2 linked regions of the Arabidopsis thaliana genome follow. The protein of the gene in region 1 interacts with the protein of each later gene in a pairwise test. Each region holds a gene or a part of one and is shown in the gene's direction. Other genes may lie near its edges. The genes, in order: AT4G37850 and AT4G29930.

Region 1 (4,312 bases):
AGAAAGAAGAAAAAGATAGAAACAAAATAATCGTCTATTTGTAAATGTGTACAATGTACTGTATATATACTCTATCACATTTTATACTATAGAGTAAAATATACTCATGATAATATTATAGTTAATTTAGTATTTAGATCTTGAGAAATGAAATACTATATAAAAATATAAAATTCGAGGGATTTAGTATTAAATTTTTATGGAGATTTGTAAAACACTGAATTTGGTTTGCAGGCGCCAAGATGCTTCTGTCATGGGGCGTAGTAATGGAGGAAAAGAGGGAGAGATCTAGTTGTAAGTGAACTGGCTTTTATTTCTATTTTAGTACTTAGATTATAATATCCCAAGTATATTTTGTTTACCTAGCTTACCATTTCTATGAAGTTCAACAATTCCGACAAATACTTGACTTAAAATATCAACTTTACATAAAAGAGTTTCATGTTTGATTGATTATTTTTACCTAATCGATTATATATTAAGAGTAGCACGTTTGCACAAGACACAAGACACATGAGTTCCAGGAAAGTAAAAATTATCTTAGTGTCGATCACTTGTAGTATAATGTTTGAATATTCTGATTGAATAAAATATAAACTTTTGTGATTTTGTTTGTTCATAATCGAACGTCTTTGACAGTCATGGTGATTCACACATTTAATCAAACTGTGTATAAAAGATGAGAGCTTTTAGAAGAGAACGCCAATGGTTAAATTCAAATCATACTTTAATCTTTTTTTTATTGTTGAATTTACAATTTTCTTGAAAAAAAGAAAATTCGTGGAAATAATTAATGTCGTAACCAATACCATATAATATACCATAAAATCGTAGCGAGATCTTTGGTTGGTGTCACATTTTTAGTTTACAAGAGAAAAGTATAAAACTAATGGGAATATGTATTAGATTATATTCAATTGGACCCACAATTTGATTATGGAAAGTTTCCTGTCATCTTCTGTCTATTTTTGCTTATCATAAGTTCGCTTATCATAAGAAATTTATGAAAATTAATCATGAATGCTTTCCTTTTATTGGTTCTTCAACAACATACATATTCAGATAGTGAGTGAAGGACACTTTAGTATAAATTACTTGACTATATATATAAGTTTATTACTCAGTAATAATAGCAGAATTTGAATACAAGCTTTCTATATACAAATGTTTTTACAATTGGCCAACAACATTTTGATGCGCGTCATAAGGTTTAATATTTTTATATGATGTTAGAAAATATTTTTTTGAACAGTTTTGATTTTTAATTGGTTTCATATTCGCATACCACACCTGATACATAAATTCATGTCAAATTTGGATGCATTTTGAAAAATGTATTTATGGAGAAACTAATATTTTTTTAAAAATAAAACCAAGGGAAACAAGATGAGTAAACATATATCAAAACAAAATAAAAATTGAGGCGATTTTTTTTGTTTCTAAGAAGAAACCCTAAAAATACACTTAATAATATAAACTCAAAAACCTGATATATTCAATAGACGAATACCCTTTTTGTCTCCGGCCCGCAACATTTTTATATTCATTCAAATAGGACCTCAAAATACTGTATACGTCAATGAGTAACTTTGAACAACCTGTGAAATTTGACAAATATAAAACAATCTATAATATAATTAATTAGTTTTGACACCCAAATGCTGTGAGAAAAAAGGAATATTTTTAGTGTGAAAGTTGAGTAGTATTGCCTTTCACACGTGCAAATTACTTCATATGTGTGTCCATCTCTATATATACATGTACATATATGCATGTGCATTCCACTGTTTTCACACACAAATCTCTCTTCTCTCTCTCTCTTCTCCTAGAAGCTGGTGAGTTTTATTTCTTTGTGATTCAAAAAACATAAATCTCAACCCTTACTAAATGTTTCTTGATCTTGGGTTTTTACTATACGTCAAATCTTGTATTTGAAACCCAAGATGATCTGCTAATTTATCTTTTTTCTTGGTTAAATACAGTTTCTTGTTTATAAATCATACACTAATATTCTTTTTACCATTTTCAGATTTTCAGAGGCAACAGCAATGAGTATCTTATCCACAAGATGGTTTTCTGAGCAGGTATATATGCGCATAAACACATACACTCATGTATATATGTTGTCATCTGGGACTGTTTTTCATTGTTTTTTGTTCTTTTTTCTTTTGGGTGTGATGTTATATTTTAGGAAATAGAAGAAAATAGCATAATTCAACAGTTTCACATGAACTCAATAGTGGGAGAGGTCCAAGAAGCTCAATACATTTTTCCACACTCTTTCACGACCAACAATGATCCCTCTTATGATGATTTGATCGAAATGAAACCACCAAAGATCCTTGAGACAACTTACATATCACCTTCTTCTCATCTTCCTCCAAATTCAAAGCCCCATCATATTCACCGTCATTCTTCCTCAAGAATTCTCTCTTTCGAAGATTATGGTTCAAATGATATGGAACACGAGTACTCTCCCACCTACCTAAACTCAATCTTTAGCCCAAAATTAGAGGCTCAAGTGCAACCACACCAGAAGAGTGATGAGTTTAATCGAAAAGGGACCAAGAGGGCTCAACCGTTTTCAAGAAACCAATCCAATGCTCAGGATCACATAATAGCCGAAAGAAAACGTAGAGAGAAGCTTACTCAAAGATTCGTAGCTCTTTCCGCTCTAGTTCCTGGCCTTAAAAAGGTATACATACCATCAGATCTTCCTTCTTGATTACCTTTTTCAAAAAAATACATGTTTTTGAATCTATAGGTGTAATTTTTTTCTAATTGCGTGCATAGATGGACAAGGCTTCTGTGTTGGGAGATGCATTAAAGCATATAAAGTATCTCCAAGAAAGAGTGGGAGAGTTGGAGGAACAGAAGAAAGAAAGAAGATTGGAATCAATGGTTCTTGTGAAGAAGTCTAAGCTGATCTTGGACGATAATAATCAATCATTCTCTTCTTCTTGTGAAGATGGCTTCTCGGACTTGGATCTTCCCGAGATCGAGGTAAGATTCTCGGATGAAGATGTTCTAATCAAGATCCTTTGCGAGAAGCAAAAGGGTCATCTTGCCAAGATTATGGCCGAGATTGAGAAACTTCATATCTTGATAACTAATTCAAGTGTATTGAATTTTGGACCAACTCTTGATATCACCATTATAGCTAAGGTATGCAAATGTATATTCAGGCATACACTTATACATATAAATGAAGAACTTGTTCTTAATTTTAGAGTAACATCGCTTGATGTTTATTTTTCAGAAGGAGAGTGATTTCGACATGACACTCATGGATGTTGTAAAGAGCTTAAGGTCTGCTTTGTCGAATTTCATATGATTGTATTAACTTTCATGCTTCTCGTCAATTTCTACTGTGGGAGATCTTGTTGAACACATGGACGAAACATAAGTGGTTTGCCATGAAAATGTTTTTTTTTTTTTATAAGTTTGATTGGAGGTTTTCTTATCTGTTAATTATCTATAATTCTATATATAAATAAGATTAAATTAGTTGAAAATTCACTTCTCTTTTTTTCTCTATTTGGTTCTTTCCCCCTTTATGTATTATATTGCTGTTTCCAAAGATGTAAAGCACTTCCGTTTATGTATTTGTATTATATGGTTTATATTTTGTAAGTCTGTTCAATCTTATACCAAATCACTAAAGTTTGTAGTAATAATTTTTTGGGAGGAGTTAGAGCAAGTTATTGGTGCACAAAAATTTAGAGCAATTTATATTGAATTTGATTGATTACTGTCATTATGAGTAAGAGTAATTTGAATTCAAAGTAACATATGGTAAATTAGCACTGTCAAATACAACAAAGTACCCAGTCCAAGACATTCTAGATTCAGAAAATCATAATAAAAAAAAAAATTATCACTTGGATAATCAAGGCAAGGAATGCGGCATGACGACCAAGTCTTTCCTTCCGTGTTAGAGAACAACAAGGATAATCATAGGATACTAACAAAGTTGGACAAATCGTGGATTCGGAAAGTGGATAACTATCCTTCTCTTTCTTTCAGCTATAATAAAAATATTATATCCGCAATGCGAAAAATGAACAATTATGGTTTCACATTTCACAAAACAATAGATAATATGTGTACATATGCATATATACAAACACTATATCCAGGTGCAAAACGTCTGAATCGTGTATATATAATATATATATTACATATTATTGCAACGGAACTAGACAAAAAAGGGTATTTATGATAATATGATCCAGTGAAGATTATGTGAATCTAGCTCCAGATTTATTATATATACACGATTCAGACGTTTTGCACCTGGATATAGTGCCAA
Region 2 (6,046 bases), 3.2 Mb from region 1:
GTTCATTTTGTTTGATGAATGGGTTTAAGTCGTCGAAGTTGGTTAACCGATATCGTAACGTAAGATTGAACCGGAGTTTCAATACTCGTTACATTTTTTCGTATTCTAGCTAACGTGAACGGATGTTGTTTATACAGCTTTCTACTACAAAAGTAGATTTCAAAATTGAACTGCGATTTTCTTCTTACTCTTCTAGAAACACTTCCTCATATTTAATAAGAAACGAAAGAATTAGACTCCGACAATATTGGGAATGTTTAGTTGTCATTTGGACCCAATATAATCAATTCCATACATTTGCAATTGCAAGGTGGGTGAGTCATCAAAATTTATGAATCTTCCAAAGATTATAGATAGAACAGCTTTTAATTAGCCTAATAAACAAAAGGAAATACGATTATGCATACAAAATAAATTAAATATTAAGACTTTTAATGAATTCTTAACCAAAACCATATCAAGTCATATCATACACTATCCTCCATACACGTGGTAGCATACATAAGTACGTTAAATAATTTTATTTAGCAAATAATTTTATTATAATCATCTTTGATCACCAAGATCATGTTGGGCCATCCAAGCCACGACTTTAGTAATGTGAAAACAATATCATAAGGAACGAAACACTGTTCATTTCATACAATTAAAATACAACTTTTTCCTACACATTTTCTCAAGAGTTTAGTAAGTGAGAGACGAATGATTTGAGAAAACAGTTTTTACTTTTTTCGATTTGTTTCTCAAACTCAGTATTTTCGGATTTCTAATCCAGATTAAAAGTTCTGAATAAAATCACGGGGTATGGAGCAAAGCCGATATAAGTAAAAACCTTTCCATATTGATAGACACTAGATTTTTTTTTAGTTCATAAGATAGATACTAGATTTAGTTTGAGTATAATGGATTAATGTGGAACTAGTTGTATTGTTTAGTATGTGTATGTTGTATGATTTAGTGACCGTCTTCAGTTTTCTTGATGTCTTTCCACGTTTTACAAATTCTTGAAAGAACTGAGAACTCAAATGTATGATACATAACCATTGAAAAAAATATTTCCACCATCATAAATAGAGTTTTACGAATCGTTTCACAACTTTTAATTCAGTTGACACCATTAAATAATCAATATTTCTTTAGTTACAATTCAGTAGAATAAAATTGCATATGCTATATTATCTAATTCTATGAATATTTTCTGTCTATGATATTTGATTTTTATATACTTTAGATTTTGGATCACCCCCACATTATTTCGCTTTTCAGTCACATTTTGTGTTTAATATTGCTAGATAAGTCCGTGGTTATAGCTTACTTTGTTAAAATCATATATCTCAACTTATTTCATAACAGTATCTAAAGAAGATGGAATTTTATAAATATATAGACACTCAAAAATCAGAAGAAAATATATATCCACAAATAATAGAAGAAAACATAGATTTACTGCATTCAAATCAAGGGACATGAAAGAATATCCTGGACCCAAGTGGGTTATATTTTCAATAAAATTTAGCAAAAAAAGTTGACAATCAACTAATCATCACCATTATTGGCCATAATCATTACGTACGCATACACATAGCCACGATGTCTACCTATGTTTAAATCTTTGAATTCTGAAACTACGTATCTTTTATTTTTGTTTAAAAAAAACCTAGTACGTATCTTCTTTCCTTACTTAGACATCATCTTCTAACTTTAAGGATCGAAATTAGAAGAAAAACAAATGATTAATATCTACAAGAACAGAATTTTGCATTTATACTCAGATACTCTTCTAGTACCTCACAAAAATAAAATGAAATTGGAATTGAACACGCCCTAAATTCAAGTACTATACGGTCTATACCCATTTGAGTATATGAATAATGCATATTGTGAGTGAAAGAGATAGATACGATACACTCTTTTCTTTGTTTTTCAATTGGACAAAAGGAAACAGATTTTGATCTCTGAATTGAACGGTCAAGATCGTATATAATTATTTCAGGAGATTAAGATCCCACGTGCTTAAAAACTCTCTGTCAGACTCTTTATGTATAAAATCCTCGGCCCACTCTTGTTTTGATAGTACACTCAATAGAAAGACACAAAGAAAGAAAGAAAGGACAAACAGAAATAACAAAACCTTCCATTTCAAGAAAGCATCATCTTTGTGTGTCCGAAAAATGGAAGATCTCGACCATGAGTACAAGAATTACTGGGAAACCACAATGTTCTTCCAGAATCAAGAACTCGAATTTGACAGGTGCTTACTAGAATCTTGGTCCATTTTTTTTTTTTTTGTTTCTTTAGTTTTTTTTTCCGATAAAGATTAATCTTGCTTTAGTTGGTAATTAATGAAAATTGTTATAAATTATAAAATTTAAGTTGGCCGATGGAGGAAGCGTTTTCGGGTTCCGGCGAGTCGAGTTCGCCAGACGGAGCGGCAACGTCGCCGGCTTCTTCGAAGAACGTTGTCTCCGAGAGAAACAGACGGCAAAAGCTTAATCAGAGACTTTTTGCTCTCCGGTCAGTTGTTCCCAATATAAGCAAGGTATGATTAATTATTCCATTACTTCTCTTATTTGTTTAATCAACTGTCTCTTTTAAATTTAATTTGTTATCCAAATAATTTAGTAATAAAGTTTCGTCACCAGCAATTTTTGTTTTGGTCAACAGAAATTAAATAAGCGAATAAACTTTCTCTTCTTTCTTTTGTAAAGAAATAAAACTATACAAATACAATCTGGTTAAACCAAATCCAACCAACATTAAACAAATAAGCAAACCAAATTTTTGATACTCTAAATCCATATCAAGCCATACTAAAATGTATTTTGGTCCCCTAATTACCCTGATAGCATATAATTGTATACGTGTGATGATTTGTTGATTAAGACTGGATTTTATTGAAGTATTAATATTTATCTATTTTTAGTTGGACAAGGCATCTGTCATCAAAGATTCTATCGACTATATGCAAGAACTTATTGATCAAGAGAAGACTCTAGAAGCAGAGATCAGAGAGCTAGAATCACGGTCAACATTGCTAGAAAATCCGGTAAGAGATTACGATTGCAATTTTGCGGAAACTCATCTGCAAGATTTCTCAGACAATAATGACATGAGATCAAAAAAGTTTAAGCAGATGGATTACAGTACTAGAGTACAACACTACCCCATTGAAGTTCTCGAAGTACGTACTATGCATTATTTGGCAGTACATTCTAAATTACCTTTCTTTTGAGGTAAAGTTAATTATTCCAAATTGTTTTTATATAAACATGAAAAAACAGATGAAAGTGACATGGATGGGAGAGAAGACGGTAGTGGTATGCATAACATGTAGCAAGAAAAGAGAGACAATGGTGCAGCTTTGTAAAGTGTTGGAGTCTTTGAATCTCAACATTCTCACTACTAACTTCTCTTCCTTCACCTCTCGTCTCTCCACCACCCTCTTCCTCCAGGTCACTCTCTCCCTCTCTCCCTCTCTCATATCTTTATTTGGCAATGTGATTACTAGTACAAACTACAAAATTCTAAATGCATCTAGAGAATACTGTACGTGTCTTGTTTTGGTTTGACGCTCATTTTGCACTCATGGAGCGAAATTATAAAATGTTAATGGAAAGAGATGATAATATAGTTTAGAAGATTCTTGCTAATAAAGAATGTTAGATCAATTGTAATCAGCTATAAAATTAGTTTTATGCACTTGTCGGACTATAAAACACACCAACCAAATATATTTGTCCATTTTTAATTTGTCGCAACTATTCAGACTTTTATATACCAAATTCAAATCTTACTATTTTCTTTTCTTTTTGGTTATTTTGGGAGAAAAATGGTCGTCTGACGGCACGTAGACAAATCCTTTAGTGGACAAGAATTAATAATATGAATAAAAAGCATATGACTAAGTGCTTTAGTAAAGTGGATTGTTCTTTTGTTTTGGTAAAGAAAATATGTTATCTTTACGTAATAGTACAAAAATGTAATTCAAACTTACGAATTGTTTGGAAAATCACTATCAAATTCAAAAGGATAACCTTTAGACGGACCCATTTAATTACTACTTTTCTCCCACCTGTCTCCATTAAGTGGACCTTAATTCACATTACACCTTAAGTATATATAGTCAGTAATATCTTAATCAATCAATTAAAGCTCCAATTATTGAGGTTGCCTCGAGCCCATCACATTTTTTTCGAATTTCGCCTTGACTTTTTCTGATAGGGTTAGATTCTCTCAAAAGTTAAATGTCATATTCCATAAAAAATTAGGATTAACTTAATCAAAAAATTAGTGTGTGAAATCTCAAGTGCCTCGTGTCCCAGAAAGTGCCGTCCAAGCATAGTAGCACTAGAAAAACGTGGCTAATTTATAACCTCACGCGGTTCAACGTTTGTCTCTTTCACACTTTTAGCACGTGACTTTTCTAGCACTACACCTTATATCAATTCTTAACTCAAATTAACAATAGGCTACAAATCAACTGTAGCCAATTAGCAAGTTATTTGTGTTAACTAGTTGTATATGGTTCATAAGGTCTTCATTATGCTAATCATTTTGGTAAAAATTAGTTACTCCAAATGATATCCATAGCAGTTCATGGTAGAAATTAAGGTTTGGTCCTTTTTAATATAAGCAGATTTGTTAAGAGTTATTATTTTGTGTTTTTACTCTAAAAAATACAAATTCATTTCATTATCTCTATCTATTTGATTTGTTTATCATCATCATATACTAGGACTTTGGTGTAAACAATCTAATTACAAAAATGCTAGTTTCGTGAACTAACGTTCTATTTTTTTTGAAAAAGGTAATTATATTATAAGCTGTAGGTTGGAAATTTTTGATGACAACAAATACGAGTATTTCTTGCCTCACAAATGAATATAATATTATGTTGGTTTTCTTTGACAAAAAAGAATTATGCACCTTTATAACATTTTCTTGATAAAAGATAATATAATCAGACGCTAAAATTACAGTGAGGTATAGACCAGTGGAGTCATTGAGAGTTGGTGAAATCATACTCCAATCATTTATCAAATAAAAAGTCGATCATTTCATTTCAAACCTGTCCTTATCCGTCCTTTTAAAGATTATACAAAAACATTAAACAATGATTTATCCACCAATCTCATTTTCCACGGGAAATAATTATAGTAGTAATGCGTGCAGGTGTATATACACAAATTTATCAGTTCTAATTTTCTTTTTACGTGCTGCCAAAAAAAAAGAAGTTTTTTTTGTCTGATTCGTGTAAAACCTAAACACCCCTAATTTTAATAATCTATACTGACGTTGGACTTCCTAGAATCCTAATTTACTTCAAAATTCTGTAAAGATATCGTATGATTGAAATAATATAGGACTGTTTTAGTTTATATTGTGATAGATGTATTAATTATAGTAAATCGTTGAATTTGCAGGCGGATGAAGAAGAAAGCAGTGCAGTAGAGGCCAAGATACAGATGGCCATCGCAGCTTATAATGATCCAAATTGTCTTATCAACTTCTAATTTACTTCTGGTTTTTTACTTAAATCCGTTTTATGCAATATATGTGAAGAGCTACTATTGTGAGGGTTTATTTGTTTGAGCTACAAAACATCCGATGTTTTCTAATAAAATAAAACAAAAATATGCATGTTCCTTCTTATAATCTTAAAAATTATACTTCTAAAAAAATCATTTGAATTAATTGCAATCATAACCGAGTATAAGAAGAAAAAAACATAAAGAAATATGGTTAAACTAAAAAAGCAAATATGACTTTATAAAAGATTTTGTGGATACTTTGTCTTTGAATTGATGAACATGAATCAAATGCATATTGTAAGTTGCAAAATAGAGAGACTTGCCATTTGTTTCAATTTGATCTGTAAAGTTAGGCAACAAATGTTTAGTAAACTCATAAAAGTGACAGTAGGCTTTGTTAAGGAGTTATGTTCAGATAATTGCAGATTTGTAAACAATTTATTCTTACCGCTATATACACTCGGTCTAAAAGCTTTCTCTATAACCATCATCTTTCTATGATTATTACTTGGTTG

What was found.
Region 2: the proteins of AT4G37850 (region 1) and AT4G29930 interact in a two-hybrid assay, tested with the Arabidopsis thaliana proteins (one study listed by BioGRID).

The regions. Positions count from the first base shown.
Region 1 is NC_003075.7:17,795,384-17,799,695, reverse strand, and holds AT4G37850 (basic helix-loop-helix (bHLH) DNA-binding superfamily protein), read left to right. Parts: upstream 1-1,794; 5' UTR 1,795-1,835; intron 1,836-1,991; exon of another isoform or gene 1,992-2,029; 5' UTR 2,030-2,048; coding exon 2,049-2,084; intron 2,085-2,191; coding exon 2,192-2,695; intron 2,696-2,793; coding exon 2,794-3,165; intron 3,166-3,259; coding exon 3,260-3,334; 3' UTR 3,335-3,624; downstream 3,625-4,312.
Region 2 is NC_003075.7:14,641,937-14,647,982, forward strand, and holds AT4G29930 (basic helix-loop-helix (bHLH) DNA-binding superfamily protein), read left to right. Parts: upstream 1-2,057; 5' UTR 2,058-2,171; coding exon 2,172-2,251; intron 2,252-2,373; coding exon 2,374-2,539; intron 2,540-2,923; coding exon 2,924-3,181; coding exon of another isoform or gene 3,182-3,232; exon of another isoform or gene 3,233-3,281; coding exon 3,282-3,569; 3' UTR 3,570-5,423; downstream 5,424-6,046.